2 linked regions of the Astyanax mexicanus genome follow. The protein of the gene in region 1 purifies or fractionates together with the protein of each later gene. This does not show direct contact. Links are inferred from orthologs where the notes say so. Each region holds a gene or a part of one and is shown on either strand. Other genes may lie near its edges. The genes, in order: ofd1 and cep20.

Region 1 (13,095 bases):
CTAAACTGCTGTAGGCTGGATGTGGGAGGGGCTAAATAGCAGTAGACTGAATATGGGTGGAGCTAAACTGCTGTAGGGGGGCTAAATTGCTGTAGGCTGAATGGGTGGGGTTATAAACTGCTGTAGACTGAATGTGGGTGGAGCTAAACTGCTGTAGGCTGAATGTCGGTGGGGCTAAACTGCTGTAGGCTGAATGTGGGTGGGGTTAAACTGCTGTAGGCTGAATGTCGGTGGGGCTAAACTGCTAAAATGCTGTTGGTTTTTGTGCAGTTTAGTTTCTGGGATTGAAGATACAACAAAACACTTTGTAACATAAACAGTGTTTATCTCTACTGCACTGTTTATTTATTTATAATCTAATAAATAAAACATGTTATTTAAAAAGAGAAGCCAAAACTTGCTGAAAACTGTGGATCTCCACAGATCCAGCATCACAAACAGCATGTAAGCATTTTCAGGCTTTTCCTCTCTGTATTATTTATTAGAGAGGCTTCAGCAGGAGGACTCATCAGAATTAAAACCTACATTTCATCAGAGCTTTAATACAGAGTTAGAAAACAGCGCCATCTGCTGAACGGATAAGAAACAGAACAAACAGAATGACCTGATACAACTTTAACGCAAAACTCAGGAACTTAGGAAAACCTGGTACTGGTGTTGGATGATGTTGGATCATTGCTGTGAAAAGGATTTGATTGAATTTAGCAATCTGAAAACCCTGAAGAGAGCACTTCAGTTTCTAAATCCATTTCTCTGATTTGGCTATTTTTACTGTTTGAGACTTTTCTGACCTTCCTGGAGTTGCTACAAGAAGCTGAAAAATTTGTTTACAATGATTTTTCCCGCTTTACTTTCACAAATTAAGTGCATTTATAAAAATACACAGTAAAAAGGGTTCTTCACATGTTCTGCAGTAAAGTTTGTGGTTCTACACAAAACATTACAAAAGAAAACAGAGCATCTCACTTCTTGAGCTCGTTATTGAGCTTTTGGTCATATGTGTCCTCCTGGGTCTTTACAGAGAGCTCCCTCCGCCTCAGGAGCTCCTCCGTGCTCTTCACTTTCTCCTCATGAAGTTTACAGGTCCTACAGAAGAGATACAGAACATCAAATACTGCAAAGACAAAATCAGTAAAAGGACCAAAATTATGATTTTATGATGAGACCACTAGAATAGAACCAGTATTGTGTGTACCTATAAGCGTGTGTACATATAAAAGTCTCGTAAAATCCATTGATGAAACCTATTAATGTAGCAGTTATTTAACTTGTATTGTTCTATTCAGACCCCACTGAATGTCCTGAAGAACTCCCCACTCTTTTTAATAGTGTACTCACTTCTCAAAGGCCTCTGTTCTGAGCCTCAGTTCAGCCTCTCTGTTGCGGACGGTCTCGATTTCCTTCAGCAGAGCCTGACGCTGAGCATACACCTCCTTCTCCTCTATCTGAACACAACACAACACAACTCCTAAACACCTAAAGAACCAGGCTGGGACATTTTTACACTGAACTTGTTTTGTGTGGCTCTAATACGCTTTTTTGTTTAATTCAGTTTGTTTTGATGAGTGTAAACACTCCACCTGTATTCAGGCATGCATGCACCTTACTGTGCTTCATTGTGGACTGTGCTTTAGTTCCAATTAAATCCTGGTTTTGTTGGCTATTTGTGTAAACACCAAACAAGGAAACTCAGTGTCAAGAGTGTATATTTCTCAGTGCAGTCGTAGCAGTACTAACTATATAATATGCCTATTTAACATTATGAAGGTCGAATTGTGTTTGTGTATGTTTTGTGCCATATCAGCAACATATTGGCTATTTTATGGCATTGATAATGTTTGTGACTTAAGCATCAACGATTTAAATCAATATATATCAATATACATATTAAGGACTTCCAGAAAATGAAGTATTTTAGCTGCTGGAATCCTTTCAAACAGTTCTTTCTTTTATACTTGAATCCATATAAAAGTTGTTTCTAGTGGTTAAAAGTACAAAGCAGTCTACTATGATGTGTTTAATAGTTTAAAGAGTATCACAGAATTGGCAGGCTGGACTCTGTTCACCAATCAGGAGGTGGGGGTGGGTTAGAGCAGTATGTCCAATTCGGCACCTAGTCATGATTGTCTGATCTTGTCTTTTAAGGAAGTCCATATCGCATTTAATATTAGTGATGGGGGATATTTAATACAGTTTATTTTGCGGATTCTCCAATGATGGTGCCCCATCCAATACATCTGTGATAAAGGAGTGATGATCAATATCAATATGAGCAATATCAAAATCAAAATCTGGTACAATGTCTTCCCTGAACTGTACAAACAGTTAATACAACAAACGCAGGATGAAGTACTGAACTTTATAGCCTTAATTTCAGAAGAACAATGTTTGAATGTACAGGTTTCTCAAGACTTTTGTGCATATGGTGTATAAGAGTTTGATACCTCCTGCTGTTTCTGCAGACGCTCTATAGCATTCTTCTCTCGGCTCATCAGCGCTTCAGCCTTCAGCTCGTAGTTCTTCTCCAGGCGATGTCTGATCTCAGAGACTTCTCTCCGACTCCTCTCCTGTTCCTCCATCCGCACCCGGGACACCTCCACCTCCTGGAAGTGCTGCAACTGGAGAACCAACCACACCACACCACACCACACCACACTCATGAGGAGAGCTGCTACTGTAGCTGTACTACACTACATTACATTAGGCGCAATAGTCACATTGTTGGACGTGCGATGTCACCCAAGTCAATAAAAACTAATTCTTGACACGAGAATTAGATACACAATGTTCTGAGTGAGAAAAAAGGGCGAGGGGGAGCGTGAGGGGGAGGGGCAGATATTTCCAGTTACAGCTGAATTTACGTTTTTAATCCCAGAAAAACAAACGCTCTTATTTACCTTTTAAAAAAGGTAATTTAAATGCTTGATTATTGTTGTTTTGCTGTTTTCCTCAGGTTTTGAGTGCTTAGCTGACTCTAAAACTCTGACTCGGCTCTCAATCTGGATCTCTGTTGTGAGACAGCGCGTTGGTGGGGCGGGGCTGGTGCTGTCACAGGTCCTGCATTGTGTAATATTGCCATATATTGCAGAAAACAAAAACGAATGCGATGTAATTTTATTCCAATATCGTGCAGCCCTACATTACAGTGTACGGTTACTGCAGGGTACTACAGGGTACGGGATGGATACTAAGCTGTTCCAAGTGGTTGCTATGCCGTTGCTTAACCAAGCAACTGCCCATCAACCACACAGTAACCAGCACCTGGTGACGGATGAATGCAGTACCTTTGCTTTAAGCTCCGCCCGCGCCTGCTCCTCCATCTCCTTCCTGAACTCAGCGAGCTTCGCTTCCACCGATGCCCAGCGGTTCCCCTTCTGCCTCAGAACTTCATACTCCTCATCGACCACCTGCAGCTTCTCCACTTTACCATAAAACACACACACACAGTGTTTTTACACACACACTCTCTATTCACTGCCTAAAGCAGGGCTTCTCCCACCAGGCTTACAATGCTAGAGATAGACGCAAAGAAATCTACTGTGTGTAAATAGTGTTTTTAACAATAAGCTACCTATGCTATGCCCCCATCACTAGCATTTAAGTGTGCTGTATTTTGGAATGCTGGATGTGAATGGAGGTGGGCTGTGCAACAAAAGTTCATACTCATTATTATGTTTCACTACAACAAATGTCCATTTCACACCGGATTTCTCCTTTAATTTTATTATCATGCTTGGTAGCAGTTCATTTCAGTTTTCCAGCTGAAAGATATGAGCTCTACAGGACTAGGATAGTAACGATAGATGACATATATTTATACTTGTGCCACTACGTTGAAATTAAGTCACAATAATTTGATTTAACGAGCAAGAATGAATAGCTATGATAGAGGAGCAGATTTCAAAATGAATTATGTGAAAATGCATGATTATTACAGAGATATTTCCAGTTCAGCAACAGCTGGAACTCATGCATTTCCAAGGAGTTCATTTTCCAATATATTCCTCCCCTTTGCTGTTTGACTTTGTGATCTAATTTAAAGATGGTGGGAATCCCAGTCAAATGTTTCTACAGCCAGTTCAGACAGAAACAAGACATGGGTCAGGTTTAGGGTCTCAGGAGGTTAATCCAGTGGTAGTAAACAGAATAAAATGACCGTACCGAGTGACTGTGTGGAGTCGGGTGGTGTTGAGGAGGTCTGAGTATCAGCATCTCTGAGCTGCAGGTGAGCGCGGTGTGCAATCAACTCAGAGAGAAGATTCATCAACAGACCTGCAGAGAAAAAAAATCTTTATTATTCATTTACTTCATAAAACACAGATTAAAGAGTACTGAGCTGAGAAATCTCCAAATTCACAATAATTCAGATATTATTCTTCAGGAACTGATTCAGTTCTTGATTCAATTATTTTTAAAACATTTCAAAAATCACAGTGAATTTGTTTACATTAACTATTAATACAGTAGTATAATACAAACGACATTTAACTCAAATATAAAAAATATATATTTGTTAATATTTGAGCTACCATGTCTGAAAACAGAATAAAAAAAGCTTAATTCAAACCAAAAATTAAAATGTATTTAAAAAATGTCCGGAGGTAGACTCCACTCACCTTTCTGTCCACTCTGGACATTTGACACCTGTGCAAAAAAAAAAAAAAAAAATTACATATATTAGATGAATTAAACATATAATCTTAAGCCATTACATTACAGGTTGCCAAATGATAAAGTTGTGATTACCACAGACGTGTAGAGAGGTGATTGTGGACTGATCTTTAAAAGCTGAAGAAGATCTCTTGTTGAAAACACCTACAAATAAAATGTAAAAATGTTTTGGCGTGCACTGATACTATAACAGTGTTTTAAATGTAGGTATTGTGATATACTAATACACTAACACAGGGTTACAGTGTCTCATCAGGGTTAAACAGAAACTGGTCTGACCTTGTCTTTGCTCAGTCCGCACTCTGGGTAGAACACAGACAGCGTGTATTCATATCCACACCTGTGCAGGTGATCGATGACCAGACTGTTGGATGCCAGAACTGAGACTGAATCCCCTTTAGCTGAGAGCCCCCGAGGAACCGGTTCACCCGGACTCTGCAGCTCCTGGATCAGCTGGTTCCGAAGCTGAGTCTGAATCAAAAAGAGAAACAGGTGAAATCAGAAAATCGGATTTTTGCAGAACCATCAGATAACCACCGTAAAAGTGCAAAATAAACTGTTTCTGTGATTTTAATCAGTTTAGAGCAGTTTAGTCCCACCTATTCAGCCTGCCACAGTTCATTTCCACCCATCCAACCCACAGCAATTTACAAGAAATGTTTCCAGATAGACTGTTTTCTCAATGAGGCACAATACAAATCTTATTTAAACAGATGTTCCAGCAGGAACCGAATTAAAATGTCAGCTACTAATACAAACTTGAGTGGATTATTCTGGAGTAATGGGATACCAAACTTAGGAAAAATCTATATTCAGTTGTTAAAAACATAAAACAGATTTGATCACTTGCGTGCTGTCCTCTGTATATATTTCCACATCAGATATTCAGCCTGACTTTAATGCACTTGTCTAAACCCAAAAACAAGCTCGATTTCTCTCACTGAACACATAAAAAAGAACAGAACTGAACTGAAAAAAAGAACAAACATACACTTTTTTGTAAAAAAAAAAATTAAGTGATGGTGATCTTTAACAAAAGTATAGTTTTGTGTAAAAAGTTCGTGTAAAGCTGATAGTGCTGCTAGTTTTTTTAAACACTGTTAATGTAGCACATATTAAAAACCTTTTTTTCATAAACATTAAATATTTATATAATTATGTGCTCAATATTTATAAGTATTTTATGTAATGTTTAAATTACTGTTCTTTGTTAAGTTAAAGCTAAAAAGTCTTTAAAGTTATCACTGTATTGTGAGAATAGTAACGTTAAATGTAGCTAGATTATCACAGTGTACAGTGGTGCTGTTTAGTGAATATTAGTGATATTAGTGTTTAAAGTTTAAAACCTTTAAAGTGTCCAGAAGTCCTTTGTTTTTGAAGGTCTGGTAAAGCCTCTTCCTGAGCTCCTCTGGAGAAAGACCCTCTTCATTCACTGCAGACATTTTTAACTGATTTATCTATTAAATTTACTTTAAACCAGAACTTTAAACCCTAAAAACTTAAACTCCACTTAAAAACAGCTGGTGAACACATTTTAGGTAGATTCTGGATTTTAAGAACCCCCAAAGAAGCTAAAAATAACGATTAAAACAACCGAATATCACTGAAAACAAACACAAATCCAGTAACTGTTTAACTACGGTCACTACAGCTGCTATGTTTGGATACCGCTGGGTCCATCTCAATCCGACTCATGTTCCCTACGCCCTAAACTACATGTGTATTACAAAGGTCCTTCTATGAGTTTGCTCACTATTTAGCTAACCTACTACACAGTATTTATTATATAGTAAACCATGGTTAAAAATACTATACTTCTGTGTCAGTTACATAAATAACTTACTTTATTACCGTAGTGCTAATATATGCTACTATGCCGAGTTCACTAACTACGTAGGGAACGAGGACTACATTTGAGACGCCCCCATTGCAACCGTATCCAACGCAAGACGCCACACAGTTTTGCTTCCGAGTTCACGTGTCTTTTTTTGTTGTTTCTTTGAAGAAATAATTAATTAAAATTAATTTTATTTTAGTTTATTTTTGTTGTTGTCCATGATAAATACATTTTAAAAAGTGTATAGATTTAATTCTATTTTATATATACTTAAAAATGTGTGGGTAAGTGTCAGGAATATTATTGCTGTTTTATTTCATTTATTTTCATTTCATTTCATTCCTTTTCGCCCACTTTACTTTTTTGTCTTTTTAAAATAAACGTTATTAAGGCTTTATTTTATTGTTTATTTTTAAATAATCTTTACTAAGGCTTTATTTAGTATTTTTTTAAATAATGTTATTAAGGCTTAATTTTGCCTTTCTCGTTCACATCCGGGTTAATGTGTATATCTGTCCTAATACAAGAGCTGTTTTATAGAGAGACTGCCCACTTTATATTTCCGCTGTTATCCCCAAAATACTGAAGACCGCTAGAGGGCGCCCAAATAGTGAGTCCAAAATGTATGGGGGTGAATAGGGCTAAACGGCTAAAGACGCAAATTAAAAATAGTGTCTCACTACTTGGCCACGATATTCATTGAACGTTAGAAAGTGGAATTTTGCAATAAAAATAAAAATAAAAGCTAATAAAACCACCTATATTTAAATGTTTTTCAGTTAACTGATTGAGGTGATCTGATGCTAGTTACAGTTTAAAAGGCTTATAACTAAAATTTGAAAGCTTTAAAATTCGTACTGAAGAATCTGATATTCTTCATTGTTAAAAAATAAGTAAGTTTTTCGCTATAAAAATCCTTTTATATTTATATTTATCTGATTTTTTGCTCTATTGATCCATATGAACTCATTCATTTTAGACTCACTCGGGAGCGCTCTCTGGTGGTCAAACTAACCGGGTAAGATTTTCTCAGAGTGTGAAGTCTCCTCTCTGTTAGAGCTCTTTACTCAATCCCTCTCCTCCTATTGGCTGTTTCAGTCACATGACTGCAGAGGAACCGACCGACACACACAGGGATATCACAAACATTAAAAATAAAAATAAAATAATCGGTATAATTCGCTTTATCAGTTAATAATCTCTACCCGGATTAACTCCACATGTTTCATAAACCTCTGGATGTGATTAAAGGAAGTTAATCTCTTTATTAAGGAGACTCAGCCGAGCTTCTGGAGCCGCTTCTGTTTTTTAAGGTGGGCTGGAAGTTAAACTACATAATATCTTCATTAAATTTAACTATATTACAACGAGTAAACAGTATAACGTATTTTATTAATTATAGTGGTGCTTATATCTTACTGAGTCTGAGTCTCTGAGTGTTGTTAGACGCTTTATTCTTATTTAGCACTGAATTATTTAACTAAAACTGGCTTTATATCTAAAGAGGCATTAAAACCTAAATCATATTTTTTCCATTAATAGCTAAAGTCTGTTTATTTGAAGTAATGAAACATTCCAACCATATAAAAAGCCTTATACAATTTTATAAATATTTCCAGACATCCTAAGTTGCAAATAAATTTTAACGTAGTCAAGCTTCTGAAGCTGCTTCTGTGTTTTAAGGCTGGAAATTAAACTGTAGTTAATTAACTAGTTAATATCTTTATTTAAAATGTAACTATATTATATATAAAAAGAGTAAACAGATTGGTGGTCATTATATATGGAAATACTTTAGAGTAGTCAAAGGTAAAATGAGTTTTGATGGGATCCATGATGCTCCTGAATGCATCCCATCCAGAAGGGGGGGAAAAAAAACAATCCAATCATCTCTCCCTCCTGCCCCACCCCTAAACCCATACATCACCATCACCCAAATGTAATTGGTTGAGGTAACAGTACTGAATGTGTATTATCATGACATTTCTTCTTTCACAGTCTAATCACCTAGACCGGGACAGACGGTAGACGATGTCGGGGAGTTTCTACTTCGTCATGGTGGGTCATCACGACAACCCTGTGTTTGAGATGGAGTTTCTCCCTTCTGGAAAAACAGAATCAAAGGTACCATAATGCATCCACAGTGTTTTATTATATAGGGCTGGGCAGTATATTATCACAAATATACTGCAATAAAAATTATGTTAGTGAAATAGACATACTATAGAGCTGGATGTCATAATTGATGGATTATTTTTCCATTTCTGTACTATTCTATATGCTGTACTGTAGGGATATTCATACTACTTGTCTCCTAAAAGCAGAGAGAAATATGTCAGACCAAGTTTAGCATGCTTTTACTGAAGAAGATCCATCACACACTGTTCAGAAGGTGATGACGTGCTCTGAAGAAATGTCCTCTATATCCTCTATATCTTTCTCTTTTTTAAAGGATGATCACCGACACCTGAACCAGTTCATTGCTCACGCAGCCCTGGACCTGGTGGATGAAAACATGTGGCTGTCCAACAGCATGTACCTGAAGACTGTGGACAAGTTTAACGAGTGGATTGTCTCTGCGTTCGTAACTGCAGGTCATATCCTTTTTATCGTACCTGACTGTGTGGAAATGGTTTATTAATGCTGCAGCAGTATAATCTCAGACAGACTTAAATTAGCTTTAATTATGATAAAATGACCCCAATTTCCCTATTTATCACGGAAGAGAAGCTCTCAGCACAGAATTATCACCACTAGTGGTGGGCGATATGGCCCTTAAATAATATCACAATGTTTTATGGTATTTTTGTGATAACAATACTCTTGACCATACTCTGCCAAATGTAATGTTATATAATAACATGGCACAATCTTTTACCCCATACACATGCACAAGATTAAATATAAATTGGAAAAATTAAACATTTTTTTCACATTTTCATTTTTATGGCTTAAAATTTGCAAAAAATGTTGGAAAAATTGAAAAATTCAAGATTGAGATTTTGATTGCAGTCATTCTACACATTCTGCTCTTTTCCTTAGCAGTGTGTTCACATATCAGGTTCATCATGCTCCACGATGTTCGACAGGAGGATGGAATCAAGAACTTCTTCAACGACGTTTATGATTTATATATCAAGGTAAATATATAGGATTGTGTATTGTGTAGTAAATTCATTAATGTAAGTAAAAGTCCTTTAATTGCCTGTTTTCTGTTTATAGTTTGCGATGAACCCTTTTTACGAGGTGAACACGCCCATCCGCTCCACGGCGTTCGACAGGAAAGTTCAGTTTCTGGGGAAGAAACATCTCCTGAGCTGATCTTAAACTGGATCTATTCTGTTTTCACTTGTTTTTGCTTTAAAATTGTGTGATTGTACAGATTTTATGTTTGTGAGTTTAGTATTTACAGATCCTGTGATCAGTCATTTCTCACTTTGTCAATTGTAGGAATTGTGGTTTTCAGTCTGTACAGTCATATTAAATTACATGCATTTATATTCTAACTAAATATATTATAATATCAGCAGACTGCTTGTGTGTATGATCATATTCACCTAATAAAAATCTGTCAGTGTACACCTGCTCACCTAGTGTTTCTTCCAAAATCATTGCTTTGAGGAGGGTTTGATTGCATTCAGCCCTCAGAGTAGGAGCATCACAGATGTGCTTGCATATTTCCCTGTGTGAAAATAAACCAAAAACTCTGTCCATCAGTCTGGAGCATATTATGCAAAACTTACTTTTTGCATGCATTTCTGTCTCCACTTGAGGCTCGACTGCTCATATAAACATTTCAAATGCAAAAAAAATATGCTGGTGAGATAAGCGCTCAGCATATACATGGCGTAACCAGCAACAGCTTTATTTATAAAAGTGTCAGAGCCCTTAAACGGCTCATAATGAAAGGGACTGAAACTGGCGAGAATAGAGCTGAGAGATCTTTATCTTAATATGAGATTGATTTTATGTTATAACTTCGTGAACATGTTGTGTATAGAACATAGACCTATTTTAACTTGTGTAAAAAGAGGTATAAAATGCTTGAACCACATTGATTTCCACTTGTTATAGCGACGAAACTTGAGGACGGCATTGAGCTCTCATACTAAATTCAACAGTTCATTGAAATAAACACACTGTACATCATTTTCACCACCTCAACATCTTTGTCAAACAATCATGCATGCTTTGATATGCAAAACTTGTTTTCATGCTTCTTGAGGAAAATATACTTGCAGAGAAATCAATATTCATTAAACAGAATGATAATTTGCATTGCTCTGTATAATCAAGATAAAATTTATCTTTTCAGATTTGCTCTGAGAAATGTGCAACTTCAAAGTTGGGGACTTTATTTATATTTATTTATATATTTAGCAATATTCTGATTCAGCATTTATGGAACCATTCCAGTGTGTGCACAAAATGCATGAGAAGAAAAAAAAACAAAACAAGAAAACCACAAATTCAGCTCTGCCTTGTTATTTCTACTTTAATTTCCCGCTCACCACATGCAACATTTCATATCTCACTGTTAAATACGTGTTAATTCTTTTCTTAATATATCAATACTTTTCTTAAAGATCAATATTAGGTTCAAACCTAGTTGTGATGTTTTATTTTTTTAAAGACACAGAAATCACCACAGATCAACAATATTGATTAATTCTGCTTCAATTCCATGACAGATTTTAGTGCTTTTGATTACGCTCCAGAAACAAGTGCTTACCTTTAGTTTTTTTACTTCTGCTTTTCTCAACATTTTAATTTAAGCCATAAAATCTACATGATACACTGATACATGTCGACACTTGGCACACTCTACACTCTCTCTCCTATAAATGTTAATAGATTAGAAACAACTCCACCACAGTGTTTGACAAGTGCATTTCCCCTGCGTTAATAATTATTAATCGTTACAGGAAGCTAAATTTTCATAAAATAAAAATGTATTGCATCACTCTCAAGTCTCGATATTAGAATATATATATAGTGCTTAATGTATCAAAGTCTGCACAGGAGAGATTATGTCCATTTATTTATTTTTTTTGCTCCAACATCTTGAGTCTTGAGCTAGTCTTGAGCTGAGTAAGCATTTTAAAAAGTCTACAGTGGTACGAACCCAGTGTTTAGTGCACGTCTATAGTGAACGAGGCCTCAGAGACTCTATTCAGACTCTTCTCTTCTCTTCTCTTCTGTTCTGTCCAGCAGCCTCACGTTAGTTTAGTTTATGTTTTTATTTTCGTTTAGTCGAGGTGTTTTTTAAGTCAACAGCAGGAGCAAATTTATTATTTTCCAGCAGGAGGCGCCATTTAATTTCATCAACATCAACAGCAGGGGGCGCCAGTGCGCGGCTTCCTGTGCAGGTTGACCGTGTCTGTGGGGATGAGGTGCTCGGCTCGGTCCTCGGTGGCCAGCACTCTCCGCACAGCCTCCTCGAAGGCAGCGCTTACGTTGGTGGCGTCTTTGGCGCTGGTCTCGTAGTACGCGTAGTCGCCGTTGTCGCGGCACCACTGCAGCGCCTCCTCTCGAGACACCTGCCGCTCGCTAACGTCCACTTTGTTTCCCAGCACCACGAACGGGAAGGTGTCCGGGTCCTTGACGTCGGCGTAGTACACAAACTCCTTCTTCCAGTTGGCCAGGTTGCGGAAGCTCTGGCCATCGTCGACGCTAAACGTCAGCAGGCAGCAATCGGACCCGCGGTAGAACGGCGTTCGCAGACTCCGGAAACGCTCCTGCCCCGCCGTGTCCCAAATCTGCAGCGTCACCGTGCGCCCGTCCACCTCCAGGTCTTTATTGAGGAACTCCACGCCAATGGTGTGGAAAAGGTGACTGTCGAATTTGTTGGTGACGTAGCGATTCATGAGCGAACTTTTGCCCACGCCGCCATCGCCCAGCAGGATCACCTTCAGCAGAGACGACTTGGAAGACATGGTGGTGGTGGTGGTGGTGGATCTCTGCTGCTCTGCTGCCTCTCAGACACCTGGGAACTGAGGATTCAAGAAAGAGTTCAGAAAAATAAATATATATTTATTCATATTCATAAAGTTTTAAGAGCTCAGAAATCTTCGAATATTTGGTGGAATAACCCTGGTCTTTAATCACAGTTTTTTTATACATCTTGGCATCATGTTCTCCTCCTCCACCAGTCTTACACACTGCTTTTGGATAATTTTATGCTGCTTTACTCCTGGTGCAAAAATTCAAGCAGTTCAGTTTGGTGGTTTGATGGCTTGTGATCATCCATCTTCCTCTTGATTATATTCCAGAGGTTTTTAATTTCGTAAAATCAAAGAAACTCATCTTTTTTAAGTGATATATAAGGTGTATATATTATTACACAGTGCAGCAAATAAGCGAAGAAACGTTTCTTTACTTTTAAGCTACTTTTGAGCACTAATTATAACTATTTCTATTTGTTTTTTATCTTATTTAACAACTAGTTCTGTGTATAACATTATAAGCTGGTTTCCCAGACTGTGATTACACCTAGTCTGGACATTCTCCATTGAAAGGAAAATATATTCTCTAGAGACTAGGCTTAAACCCTTCCTGGGAAACCGGCTCTGTGTGTGACAAATACA
Region 2 (12,933 bases), on another chromosome or scaffold:
TGGGTGCAGTTGATGGCCCTTGCCTGCATGTTTCCAAAGTAATGTTTTACTGTTTTCCTAGAAAGTGTTCGGTGGCCTGGTGGATTAAAAGAATGAAAGGAGAGTAAGAGTAGAGTAGTAAGGGAGAAAGAGAGAGAGAGAGAGAGAGAGGAAGATGTACTGTTGGACGTGTGGTGTGCCATATAAGGTCAGTGGGGTCCGGCTGGAATCCCGTCTGCATTCTGTGTTTAAAGGAAAGACCAAGTGACTAAATATGGTTCAGCTTCTGCAGCACTAATGGCATTGTTACAACTAACAGGACCGCGCAGAAACATATCTGTGCTATGTTTACAAACCTGCAATACACACACACACACACACACTAACTGCGCTCAGCCAGAACCAAGACCAATTAAGGGAAGTGGATGACAGCACCTGGTCAATCCTTAGAAGAAAACTGGGCCTGCCTGTAATGGATGTCACATTGTACAACAACTAATTACCGCAAGTTTTATTAGTGTTCATGTCTTCACTGACACTGATGAACATACACCACTTTCACTATTCCCTCTCTTTCAGTCATGCTACAGTGCTAATTACCGCAGCACTAATACTAGGCTGTGTCCAAAACTGAGCGGCTTTTTCAATGCCTCACTGTCTCACAAGTCAGGGCAGTGATGTAAATAAATCACAGCTGTGATTCCTGACATTATTCTGGTGTTCAGTTTATGAGACCAGTTAGCAGATAGCTGTGTTAGCAATTAAAATGAAATATATTTTCGGAACCTACCTGTCTCTGATTTCAGAATATGTAAGCAGTGTTTGCCATGTACACTGCCTGACCAAAAAAAAAAGTCGGCACTTGGATTTAAGTAAGCAAATGATCTGGCGGTGCTGCAGTTGATCAAGTATAGGTTTAGCAACAGTATGTGCTGAAAGAATGATGTCAGCTGACTACCTGAATATACTGAATATAGACCAGGTTATTCCATCAGTATATTTCAAGATGACAATGTCAGGATTTATCGGGCTGGAATTGTGAAAAAGTGGTTCAGGGAGCATGAGATCATCATTTTCACACATGGATTGTTCACCATAGAGTCCAGACCTTAACCCCATTGAGAATCTTTGGGATGTGCTGGAGAAGGCTTTGCGCAGTGGTCAAACTCTACCATCTTTAATGGTGTAAACTAAATGCAACGCTGGATTGAAACAGTTCAGAAGCTTATCAAAACAATGCCACAGCGAATGAGTGCCGCAATCAAAGCTAATGGCGGTCAAAATATTAGAGTGTGTGACCTTTTTTTTGGTGGCGACTGTTTTTGACCAGGCAATGTAATAGGATCTATTTTCAGCAGTTTGGGCATTTTTACACAGTTAACAGGGAAGCTTATTTCTGGTCAGTGTTAGGGGGGTTCAGGTTAGCACATACTACAGGAGGTTGTGGTTTTGCTTTCGTTTTTATTCTTTTCATGTTTTTAATGACACACAGGAGCTAGTTGAGTGATAATGACCCCTTTAGGTGGAGAATATTAAGCTTAGTGTAAAAGAAAATAAATAGATTGAAATGTCAAAAGACATTTACATTTACATTACATTTTTAACAGTAACCTGTAGCCTATAACAACTTACAGTACATTTTCAAGTAACTCTCCTAAACCTGCTAACTGATTTTTACTGAGCACAAGCAAAGGCACAAATAACAAATAAAGTATCAATTTCAGATAATTGTATATTATATACTGTATGATTTGCAGGCGTAAGGGAGCAGTCATCTGTATGCTGGAGAATCCTGCTAGTTGCTGAGGGGTGGCACATCTACCAAGGTATTGCCAGCTCAATAAATGATTATGAATGCCGTGTTCTCATTTACTATTAACATTTTGTTCAAGAAAATGCAAGGCAAGATTAGTAAACTTTGATTCATAATTGATATGGTGCCTTCCTGCCTCAGAATCATTTTAAAGTTTAAAGCATTTCTAAACTGACAGAAACAGCCAGTATCTGAATAGTTCCTTACTCCCTGTTTTGCATTGCATTGTGCTTTGTAACCACACTCAGAAAATGACAGGATTAAGTACATATTTCGCATATATGAGTATTTCCCCGCTTTAACACTTATATATACCTACTTCATAATCAAATACTAGTGAGTGTATATATATATATATATATGTGTGTGTGTTCAATTTCAATTTAAAGGGGGATAATTAAATGACATTATTTACATTAAATTAGTAAGATAATACATTTGCACAGATTTAAGCTTGTTTGGGAGATGTTGTAGAACAGTTGATTCCTACTTCCACTCAATGATCATGATCCGCTGGTGTATTAGAGCAGGTTAGAGGTCGAATGTCAGTACAGGACTAATTTCAGTACTAAATAAAACAAAAGAACAGAATGTTCCCAACAGGATTAAAACAGCTCCTGTAGAGGACTCATTTGGAACGTGGATCAAAACTTTCCAGGCAGTAAATTAAAATAAAAAATGAATTATGATCAATTCATGTGGATTTGTGTAAATCATTTGAACAGCCAAAATCTTTCAGCTGTGTGCTCCCCCGGTGGTCAGCACATGAATTACAGACAGTCGGAGACAATATTACTGTGCAACAAAGAAGGTTTAATACGAGAAAATATAAAACAGCATTAAAACAGACAATGCATGAGAATTAATATTAATATTTTACACTAATAAACATCTCATTACCTGCACACACTCTTAAATTGCCTGTTACACACAACATTTAACTTGTACTCAAGGCAAAAACACATTAAAATGAGCTGTTTGGGCACTTTAACATGTAAACAGTAATTGAATAATCTGATCTGATCCCTTGAGAGCTTATAAACTCTCTCCGTCACCCTTATTGGCTTGTTGGGGGTGTTGTTGGGGGTTCGGAGGGTTCCTCAGGAAAAGTTTTCCGCTGTCTGCACTGCTGAGGAAGTGTGAGAGCAGGCTATATAGCAGAGGACTGAAAAACAAACAGAAACACAGTCATATAAAGAAGTTCTGAAGAAGCTGAAGGAGTTAAACTGCATCAGTCTAAAGGTATGACTGAACTGCACAGAAGCTGGAATATTACAGCTGTTTTACACCCAGAAATGAGCGGTAAAAAAGTGATGGATTTAAAAACCTGATTCTCCTGCAAAGGCTCTGGCAAAATGATTCCCAGAACATTTTACTAAATTTAATATGAAAACTGTGGAGAGCTCTGTAGTAAGGGGACAGGTGCATTGTGTAAATGAGTGTGAATACTTACACTGCTGCAGCACTCGGCTCTTCTACAACATTCAGCTCACTTGCCAAGAACCGCCGGTCCAGAGGAACCTCAGGCTGACCTGACTCTGAAACACACTCAACACTTTTAGTACTTTAAAATGTTTTTTAATGTTGACACTATGAGTGATGAAACTGCAGACCTGAGGCTGTGAGATCTGATCATGTTATCTACTGATTTTAATTACTGCACTGGGGTAGTTTCTCAGATATATTACAACAATAAATACTCAGTTAAAGGAACAATATGTGCTAAATATATAGAAGTGTAAAAAGGCCCCAGACAGATGCCTGGTTAAGGATGCCGATCAGAGTGCAAAACAAGTACAAAAACATCTGCAATGGCAAATTAGGTTTCTATTTGTTGCTAAAGTTAGTCAATATAATTCGGTCATGCGGTTGCTACTGATGTATTAAACATCTAAGGCCTGTCTGGTCCTCCACTGTGACTAAATGCAGTTACCATTTACACTTTACCTGTCTCAAATTCTCACTGCCTTGATAACCCATCTGCAGCAGCACACTGTGTTTGCCTGCTAATGTGTTCCATACCTGGCAACTTGAGGTGTGGAAATAGGACTGGGAAATGGGCAGAGGAAGTAAGAATCTTCATAATTTCCCAAATCCTTTCGAAAATAAAGTACCACATAACCTTGCTTGTAACATGTGTTGTGATGCAAAGACCATGACGTGAAATTACTGTTTTATCACCCAGCCTTTATTATTAACCAAACGAGAAATAAAATTGAGTACAGCACCCCTCCTCAGCTCACCAGCGATTAGAACAGATGCCGTGTATCGGTACTTATTGAACTCCAGGTATTCACGGATCAGTTCATTAATCAGCAAGTTCTCATGGGTCAAGGGGGGTCGCTCCTCACTCTGGTCATCCAGTGCCCGAAAGACTTCAGATCGGATCCGGGCCTTCAGCTGCCCCAAAACACCCCGCGCCTCCAGTGCCTCCCGCAGAGCTGCAACAGAAACACATGACAGAACATAATTAAACAAAGCTCAACAAACACGCTTAAATGTCAAAACAGAAGTTTGTGTGTATTCGTACTTTCAATTCCACCTTAAACGGCGCCGTAGCTCTAATCTGGCGCCAGAGACGTTCCTACTGTTACAGCTACCAAATTTAAGGTGGAACGGAACATTCAACTCCAGTTTGGTGTTTTGTTTCCTAGTAGCCAAGCTGCTGCTGTCCTTCAGATACCGAAGTGCAAATGCTCGATCTTAAAATACATCTGTGCAATACATTACACTATCTAATTAATCGTTAATAGCCTGATTATTCACCCAGATTTAAACAAAACTTACCGGACTTTAACTCCGCCACTGTTGCCATGGAGGCAGCGCTGTTGTTACTGCTCTGCCCGACAGAACGCGCTACAGGCGGCGCTGCGACCATCGATATCGTTCTATTAAATTACATAATAAAAGTCTTACATTAAATAATGCATTAAAAATAACATAAAATGATGCATAAAACGGCTAGTAATCATGTTATCGTAGTGTTAAAGATCATAACAGCGAGCTGTGACTGATTCTAGACACTGACTAATGGTTATCTTATGAAATTTAAAGGTGACTTTAAACAGTTAACCGGTGTTTATTATATGAATTGAATGATCTTAATGTATGTGTTTTTATCTATTTATATTTTTTGCAACCTACATGCATGCTGAAATCAACTTTAGCGCTCTGGATAAACTAAGACAATACATTGTCTGTGTTTAATTAATAAATAATATTTCTGCAAAAAAAAAATATGATTGCAAGCAGGTGAGATTTGAGTGAGATGAGCACAAAATGTAAAGCAAGATACGCTCTGGGGCTTTTATTTTGTACTCTTTGTCAGTCAGACTGCGCAGATGTCGGTGGTGCTCTGTGATGGGGTGGCGCCCCCTGTGAGTGAGCGCTGGTACTGCAGATGTGAGTGGACTGGGCTGCACACAGAGAACGGGCCGTGATGGCAGGAACTGCTCTAAAAAGATTAATGGCTGAATATAAACGTAAGGAAACACGTTATTGATTCCCGGTAGAGAGTTAAATAAGCGCGGCCTGTTGCGGTTTTATCAGGGAGCTAGCAGCGACTAGCCGCTGAGCCATTAGCTGGCAGTGCTACTCCCCCAGTTACTAACTAGCTTTAGCAGGGTTAGCTAACGCCAGCTTGAGCTGATTATTATTATTGTTAAACTGACCCGAGTTAATGTTTAATATTAGAAATAAATATTTCCGGACGTTTAATAAGACCTTAAATGAAGCGTAAACTAAGCTGAAACACGTTTTAGTGGAAACTGTTTTTATTTTATTGGCTAGCTGGCCATTGTTTATTATTATTCCAGCTAAATAGCAAACCTACATAGATAGGTTAAGTTAGGTAGCTAGTTATTAAAGCTATATATAATTTCATAATTTTCTTGTTGAAATGATCTTCTTGATATTATTGATAATGATATTAGATATTAGATGATGTGGGTTTGTCTCTGATTGTATATTTAAGTGTGTGTGTGTGTGTGTTCGTGTTCTTTCATCAGAGCTGACCCTGAATCCTCCAGAGGGAATCGTTGCAGGTAAACAGACACCTGCAGCTTTACATACATATAGGAACGGACAGAACCAGCAAACAGTAGCTGAAGTGTGTCTCTGTGTGTGTGTTGCAGGTCCTGTAAATGAGGAGAACTTCTTTGAATGGGAGGCGCTGATCATGTGAGTCTATTTTCTCATGCTGCTTTAGCTTGTTCAGTTGGGGGGCTGGCTCCACTGCAGATACTAAATATTGACTTGTTTGACATCATCTTTATTCATGGGCAGAAGGAGTGAAGTACATACACTATACTAATAAAGTCTGACTGTTCTGGAGACTAATGCATCGGCATGGCACATAAACAAATCTGTAATAGAGCTGCCTTCCCTCCCTTTTAGGTTTAATCGGGCTATGTTTATTGAGCTGCACCCTTATTTAGTCCACTCTGACTTTCTGAGTTCTGGACAATATGCTTTTTCTTGCCCCTGAACATATACAGATATTAACAAGAACGTTTTTTATGTGTTTTGATCTCATTTATCTACAATAATGTGCTGTTTGTAATTTAAAAATGCTTTCTAGGGTGGAGATTTTTTAAACCTTTTTGTCATTTAAAAGGGAAAATTAAACTTCATAAAATAAATGTGTCTGGCTAAATCACAAATGCTGCCTTGCTCCCTATATGTCTGTCACAATAACATTTTCTTGGGACGATATATTAACTAAACCCAAACATAACTGGGGTAAACAATACAATTGTCCATTGATCCTTCATAATCCTAACAATGTATAATTTGGGAATAAACTGTGTTTAAATTTTTCTTTGTGGTGTTTTGAGGTCTCTATCACCTTATGCAGCGTTAGCATGCTTATGCAAGCCTTTTTGTCTCAGAGTGAAAGAAAACGTTTAAAAAAAAAGTGACAATATAAAGTCTTTTAAAAAAAATATAAGGTATTTTATTTGCATGTGTTTGGTCAGAACATTAAGCTGTTTGACTTTTATGATTTTCCATAAGATATTATTTCCCCCTGCTCGGCTGCCCTGCTCATATGCATGTTTTGGAGTGGGTTTTTCGTTCGTGGAGAGATTTTATAAGTGATGTTTTTGTTTTTAAAAATATTCAGAAATGTGTTGACAAGGCCTAGAAGAAAGAGGAATCATCAGCTCTGTTTATCTTTTACTTTAGTGGTGTTGATAATGATGAGAGTAAGGTATATATCTGTAAAAATAAGTGCAAGCAGAGAGTTTATTATTATCATTTGTCTCTTTTAGGGGTCCTGAGGACACGTGTTTTGAAGGAGGTGTTTTCCCGGCTGTTCTTAGCTTTCCATCAGACTACCCTCTCAGTCCTCCCAAGATGAAATTCACCTGTGATATGTTCCACCCCAACAGTAAGTTTATCCCTCATTCTATTCTTTAACTGATTAGAAAAACATGCAGTGTTTTCGTGTTAATTGAAAGGTTATATAGACAGATGGTTAACTATTAAATACAACTTTTGTGTGTTTTGGGGAAGATTTTCCTGCAAAACATGGAGATCAGTATTATTTCTCAAAGCAAGACATGAAGTGGTCTAAATACACTATAAAATATTAAACAAAATTCATTCATATTAAGTCTTCATTTAAGGACTTGCCATAACATACAGAAAACATAAAGAGTTTCAAATAGTAAATACCACTTTATTGAGTGTTATTTACAGGTACCAGCAAGAGTTTACTGACACATGATTTGAATGAATACTTTAGGTCTGAAGATCCACCCAGCTTCTGATTAGAAGTTTGTTTTTAACAAGAACTGGATACCGTTCTCACTAAAACAATTTCTGTTTGATTGTGTGTGTAGTTTATCCAGATGGCCGAGTGTGTATCTCTATTCTGCATGCTCCGGGAGACGACCCAATGGGGTATGAAAGCAGCGCTGAGAGATGGAGTCCGGTACAGAGTGTTGAAAAAATCCTTCTGTCTGTGGTCAGCATGCTTGCAGGTATGCACACACACACTTAATTGACCTTTATTTGGGAACGATGTAAACAGTGTGAACAAATCTGTCCCTGAAACACCACGCACTTACTAATTGATTTGTTTTACAACATTGGGACGCTACCACTATGATTGCGAGAACACTAGTTTGAATCCCAGTAGTTTAGCTCCATTTACCCCCATTAATTGAGGGATTACTAGCAGGCTGCCTCTAGTGTTTCGCAGTCATTTTTTAATATAACTGGGGAGATGGGAAGTTGGCAGGCTCTCCATAATCCGACTCTGATTCTGGCTAACTGTGTGCTGACTAATGGAAGTGTTGGTAATGGTGCTATTCCTTTTTCTTACTTTTCAGAACCAAATGATGAGAGTGGAGCAAATGTGGATGCTTCCAAGATGTGGCGAGAGGACAGAGAGCAGTTCAACCGATTGGCCAAACAGATAGTCCGCAAATCCCTGGGCCTCTAATCTCTATCACACACACACACACACACACACACACACATATACACAAACACATACACAAACTTCTCCATAACCTCCTTCATCACACTGAGCACTTTATCTGTGTCTGTCCTCTCTCACTGATACTGATGGATGGATGGACAGATGGATGTTAAAGATAAATTACACCTCCTACATCAGTGGACTTTCTCTCAGTGCAGCATTTCTGCTCCTTTCTGGACTAAAGGATTGAAATGCTGTTTCTTGGTTTCCATTGAAACAGTGGATGTTGTCCAGTCTGCTGTCTGAATGCTGTGGTGCATGTTTCAGTGCTTCATATTAAAATGATTAAATCTATATTCTTATGACAAGCAGAAGGAAACGGGATATGAAACGGTGAGAGATTTATTTGACAAGATTTGAAGTGATTGTTTGAGTTCCTCTGCAGTGGAGGAGAGATACGACAATAAAGTTAACTGTGATTCGTAAACATCTCGAGTCCCTGATTTCAGACTGTCTCTTACATTGTAGTAGATATATCAATGGGTAAGAAGTGTTCTTCTAATGAGGGTTACTTTACCAGTGCTGCATACTTTTTTTACTAAGATCTTGCATTTGTAATGGTAGTGTCTGTTGGCTGCACAAAGCTTTCTTCAGCACATCCCAAAGATTCTCATCGGGATTAAGATAACCTGCTTAAATATTTGCACCAGAAGTGCAAAAGCAGTGGGAAGACTAGTCAAGAACATGCCCAGATGCATTAAAAGTGTGATTAAAAACAAGTTATTCCACCAAATATTGATTTCTGAACTCTTAAAACTTTATGAACTTGTTTTCTTTGCATTATTTAAGGTGTGAAAGCTCTGCATCTTATTTTAGACATTTCTCATTTTCTGCAAATAAATGCTGTAAATGAAAATATTTGTATTTAGAATTAGGGAGAAACATTGTCTACAGTTTGTAGAATAAAACCACAATGTTCATATTACTCAAACACATACCTATAAAATATCAGAAAAAAATGGTTCAGAAACTGAAGTGGTCTCTTAATTTTTTTTTTCCAGAGCTGTATATAGTAAATATCTACTTGGCCAGTATTCCTTGGATATTTGACAGTAAAGTGATGCATTTTTCTAAAAAAAAAAAACAAAAAAACAAAGAAGTTTACCTGTATGTTTCATTTTCCTTTAGGTGACAGATTTCTGACAGTAAAGTGTGAGCTGATGCCAGAGTTATTGCCAGAGCATGTTTAAAATGCTAATAACTGGAGTTTAAAGCTTTACAAATGGCAAATCTGCAGCACTGGCACATGTAATATTGATCTGTGTTGGTGAAAGTAGTATAAGTTTCAGTATAAAAATCAGTGTGGTATGTGATATTTTTTTTGAGAGTAGTAGGCAGAAAGGTGTTCTATTAAAAAAGAAGAGCAACCTTTTATTAAGGGAAAAGAACACAATGAACATTAACTAGTTTTAAAGAACCATGAAAGTGACCTAGTTCATTTAAATAAGTATGAACTGACCTTTGAACTAGTTCATTTTTATATATTTTTAAAGGTATCCCAGATGAATGCTAATAGATAGCTGAGGTAAAATTCGCACAATATAAGTCAATGGGGGAAATTATTATTACTATTTTAAACGTTTCTTTTTTATCCTAAAAGAATAAACTGGCATTTTTAACAAGGCATTTTTTCATGAACAATAATAATAATTCCCAAGATCTGTAAATATGTTGGGTAGTTTTATGGGGACGTTTAACACGTATTTGCGTATGTATTTCTGTCAAAAACTCAAGTTTTCGTATCTAAAAACCGTATTTTCCTTTTCCGAAAGCCTAGCGGTCTAGCTGCTTGTCAAACTACAACTACCACAATGCATTGCAACACTGCTTCCTCCAGGAGAAACATGGCGGCGCTCTGAACAGCAGCGACACTCAGATTTAATTCGGCATAAAATTGAAAACGGAGCGGACCCGGGTGAGAACAGCCCCACATGTCTAATAAGTGTGTAGATGTTTAAACAGTTAGATTATTATTAAAGCGGTACAGTTTATTTCGACGTTGTTGGAGTTTAAACTCGCGACACAGGAAAAAAAAACACTGATATTCAATAACAATAACAATACAGATATCAATAACATTCATAGTTAGCTAATAACAATACATATATCAATAAATATAACATTACTAATGAAACTTTTCATATAATATAGTGTAACATTGCTAATCAGGTAATAGCCCTACTAGTCAATAAATATTAATATTGATAATAACTGATTACAATTTCAATCACAGTGTTTATATTATAAATACTGAAATACTAACTAACTGCTGCTAGGATCTTAACTGGGATTTGTGTAAATATGTTTGTTTACATTGGCTGTGATGTTGTGGTGTTAATAGTGATACTGGTGCTCCTCAGTAGGATGTCCTGTGAGGTGGATGTTCTGGACCACAGGTGGAACGTCACTGTCAGTGTCCCACAGCTGGACAGATAGCAGAGGACAAACACAGAGCAACCAGTGGGGAGGATGTTTGGGGATCTGTTTGAGCAGGATGAGGAGGGCCTGGGGGACTCAGGTGCAGGTGTGCACACTGGTGGGGGTAAAGAGCGTGAGCCACAGCCTCCTAGAGGTCCCATTCAGCTGAGTGGGATCCGGAACCAGGGTGGTACCTGCTACCTGAATGCCCTGCTGCAGACGCTGCTGTTCACACCTGAGTTCAGAGGTGAGTGAATTCACTTCCAACAGGATTTCCACATAAATGATGTTTCAGTTTCTGAGTATAAGTACTATACTACATTATATACTATTTGTACTATAAATCTGTACTATTATGTCAATGCAGTTCAGTTGAAATTTCCAGTTCAGTAGGATTAAAAGAATCACTGATCACTAATTTTAGATTAAGAATATCACGTTCTGATTTCTGTACAGCTCGAAGGTTGGATGTGGTAATCTGATTTTTCTGTAGATTTACATATGAATTGATTGTAGGCCACAGTCTTTCACTGTCTTGAACAGGGATTGGGGATAGTCCTGGACTGCACAGCATTGCAAAAAAAAAAAAAAAAAAAAAAAATTTGACCCTGTGGACACAAAGTCTGGGTCAGTCACACCTGTTCCCTGCTTGACGAGATGGATAGAGATTAGGAGATTTATATTTAATTTAAGTTAATAACTGTGTTTATTGACTGTGTTTTCACAGAGCAACTGTTCAGCTTGGAGCGGTCGGAGTTGGAGGCCGAAGGAGATGCAGGGGTGTGTGTGAATTTCTGTGTAGTTTACTTGTTTTGTGTGTGGAGCTGTAGAAGCTGAGGTGTGCGTGTTTTTTGTGTGTGTTTGTGTATATGTGTGTGTATGTAGGTGCGGGTTATTCCACTGGAGCTGCAAAGACTGTTCGCACGGCTGCTACTTTTGGACGAACAAACAGCATCAACAACCGCCCTAACTGACAGCTTTGGTTGGACCAACCATGAGGTACACACACACAAACACTCTATCTCACACTCTGTCCTCTGTCTGTCAATCACTATCTCTCTCTCTCTCTCTTTCTCTCTCTATAGGAAACAAGTCAGCATGACGTTCAGGAGTTAAACAGGATATTGTTTAGTGCTCTTGAATCTTCTCTGGTTGGGACGTCCGGCAGCTCTCTGATCCAAGAACTTTACCACGGAACGCTGGTCAACCAGATCACCTGCAAGGAGTGCAAAAATGTTAGCGAGAGACAGGTGGGTGCTTGGTGTGTGGATCATATAAACATTATGGAGCATTATAGAGCATCCCTTATACTTTCTGTAGTGTATTACAGTCTGTCAGAATGAGTGTATGGATCATATGAACAATATAGAGAATTAAAGAGCACCCCCTATGCTTCCTGTAGTGTATTACAGGCTGTCAGAATTAGTGTATGGGTCATGTAAACATGGATTACATCTCAATAGAACACCTTGCACACGTCTTTGAGTGTATTACAGTGTCAGAATGAGTGTGTGGTTCATATGAACATTATAGAGCTTTATAAAGTTAATGACATTTTAATGCTACTGATCTTGATTTCCTCTCTCCTTGTCCTGTTCTCTCTTAGGAGGACTTCCTTGATCTGACTGTGTGTGTGCGGGGTGTGAGTGGCCTGGAGGAGGCGCTGTGGAGCATGTTTGTGGAAGAGGAAGTGTTTGAGGGGAATAACTTGTATCGCTGCAGTCGTTGTGAACGCCTTGTGTGCGCCTCCAAGGCCAGTGAGACTGGATATATATATATACAGCTTGTTTTTCGACATATATATTATAAAAACTAAATGTAACAATCAAGTAATAACAAGCAAATTGGAAGATTATTAGATTTCAGAGCGTTGTTTCACAGTGTTTTTGTGAGTTGAACCTATTGTGTGTGTGTGTGTGTGTGTGTGTGTGTGTGTTTGTATGCACAGGCTGCTAAGCTAAGGAAGCTCCCTCCATTCCTGACTGTTTCTTTGCTCCGGTTCAGTTTTGATTTTGAGAAATGTGAGCGTTACAAAGAGACGAGCACCTACAGCTTCCCCCTCAGCATCAACCTTCTGCCCTACTGTGAACAGGTACACACACACATTCACACACACCATCACTCTGCAGCCATACAGTAGCAGTGTGTAGAGGTGTACATGAAGTTATGGACAGGTACTCATTAGAGCTGTGCGATTAACCATATTGTTATCGCAAATTGAGTTTCACAATAAACA

The links.
Region 2: the proteins of ofd1 (region 1) and cep20 purify together in Homo sapiens (co-immunoprecipitation; 3 studies listed by BioGRID and IntAct, with this or other methods). This does not show direct contact. The link is inferred for Astyanax mexicanus from reciprocal best matches to the Homo sapiens genes OFD1 and CEP20.

Annotation. Positions count from the first base shown.
Region 1 is NC_064418.1:1,334,885-1,347,979, forward strand, and holds the start of ofd1 (oral-facial-digital syndrome 1 protein homolog), read right to left. Parts: upstream 6,296-13,095; 5' UTR 6,114-6,295; coding exon 6,018-6,113; intron 5,143-6,017; coding exon 4,951-5,142; intron 4,816-4,950; coding exon 4,747-4,815; intron 4,645-4,746; coding exon 4,617-4,644; intron 4,273-4,616; coding exon 4,162-4,272; intron 3,422-4,161; coding exon 3,285-3,421; intron 2,619-3,284; coding exon 2,445-2,618; intron 1,446-2,444; coding exon 1,339-1,445; intron 1,087-1,338; coding exon 967-1,086; intron 1-966. Other genes in the region: trappc2 (trafficking protein particle complex subunit 2), read left to right, coding at 8,540-8,632, 8,961-9,102, 9,554-9,648, 9,731-9,829; rab9a (ras-related protein Rab-9A), read right to left, coding at 11,839-12,444. UniProt on the Homo sapiens protein: Component of the centrioles controlling mother and daughter centrioles length. Recruits to the centriole IFT88 and centriole distal appendage-specific proteins including CEP164. Involved in the biogenesis of the cilium, a centriole-associated function.
Region 2 is NC_064412.1:25,899,084-25,912,016, reverse strand, and holds cep20 (lisH domain-containing protein FOPNL), read right to left. Parts: upstream 4,700-12,933; 5' UTR 4,671-4,699; coding exon 4,580-4,670; intron 4,234-4,579; coding exon 4,036-4,233; intron 3,331-4,035; coding exon 3,246-3,330; intron 2,958-3,245; coding exon 2,828-2,957; 3' UTR 2,585-2,827; downstream 1-2,584. Other genes in the region: ube2g2 (ubiquitin-conjugating enzyme E2 G2), read left to right, coding at 5,232-5,274, 5,800-5,835, 5,926-5,971, 7,063-7,181, 7,636-7,776, 8,128-8,240; usp40 (ubiquitin carboxyl-terminal hydrolase 40), read left to right, coding at 10,749-10,944, 11,425-11,477, 11,583-11,696, 11,783-11,947, 12,304-12,450, 12,646-12,789. UniProt on the Homo sapiens protein: Involved in the biogenesis of cilia. Required for the recruitment of PLK1 to centrosomes and S phase progression.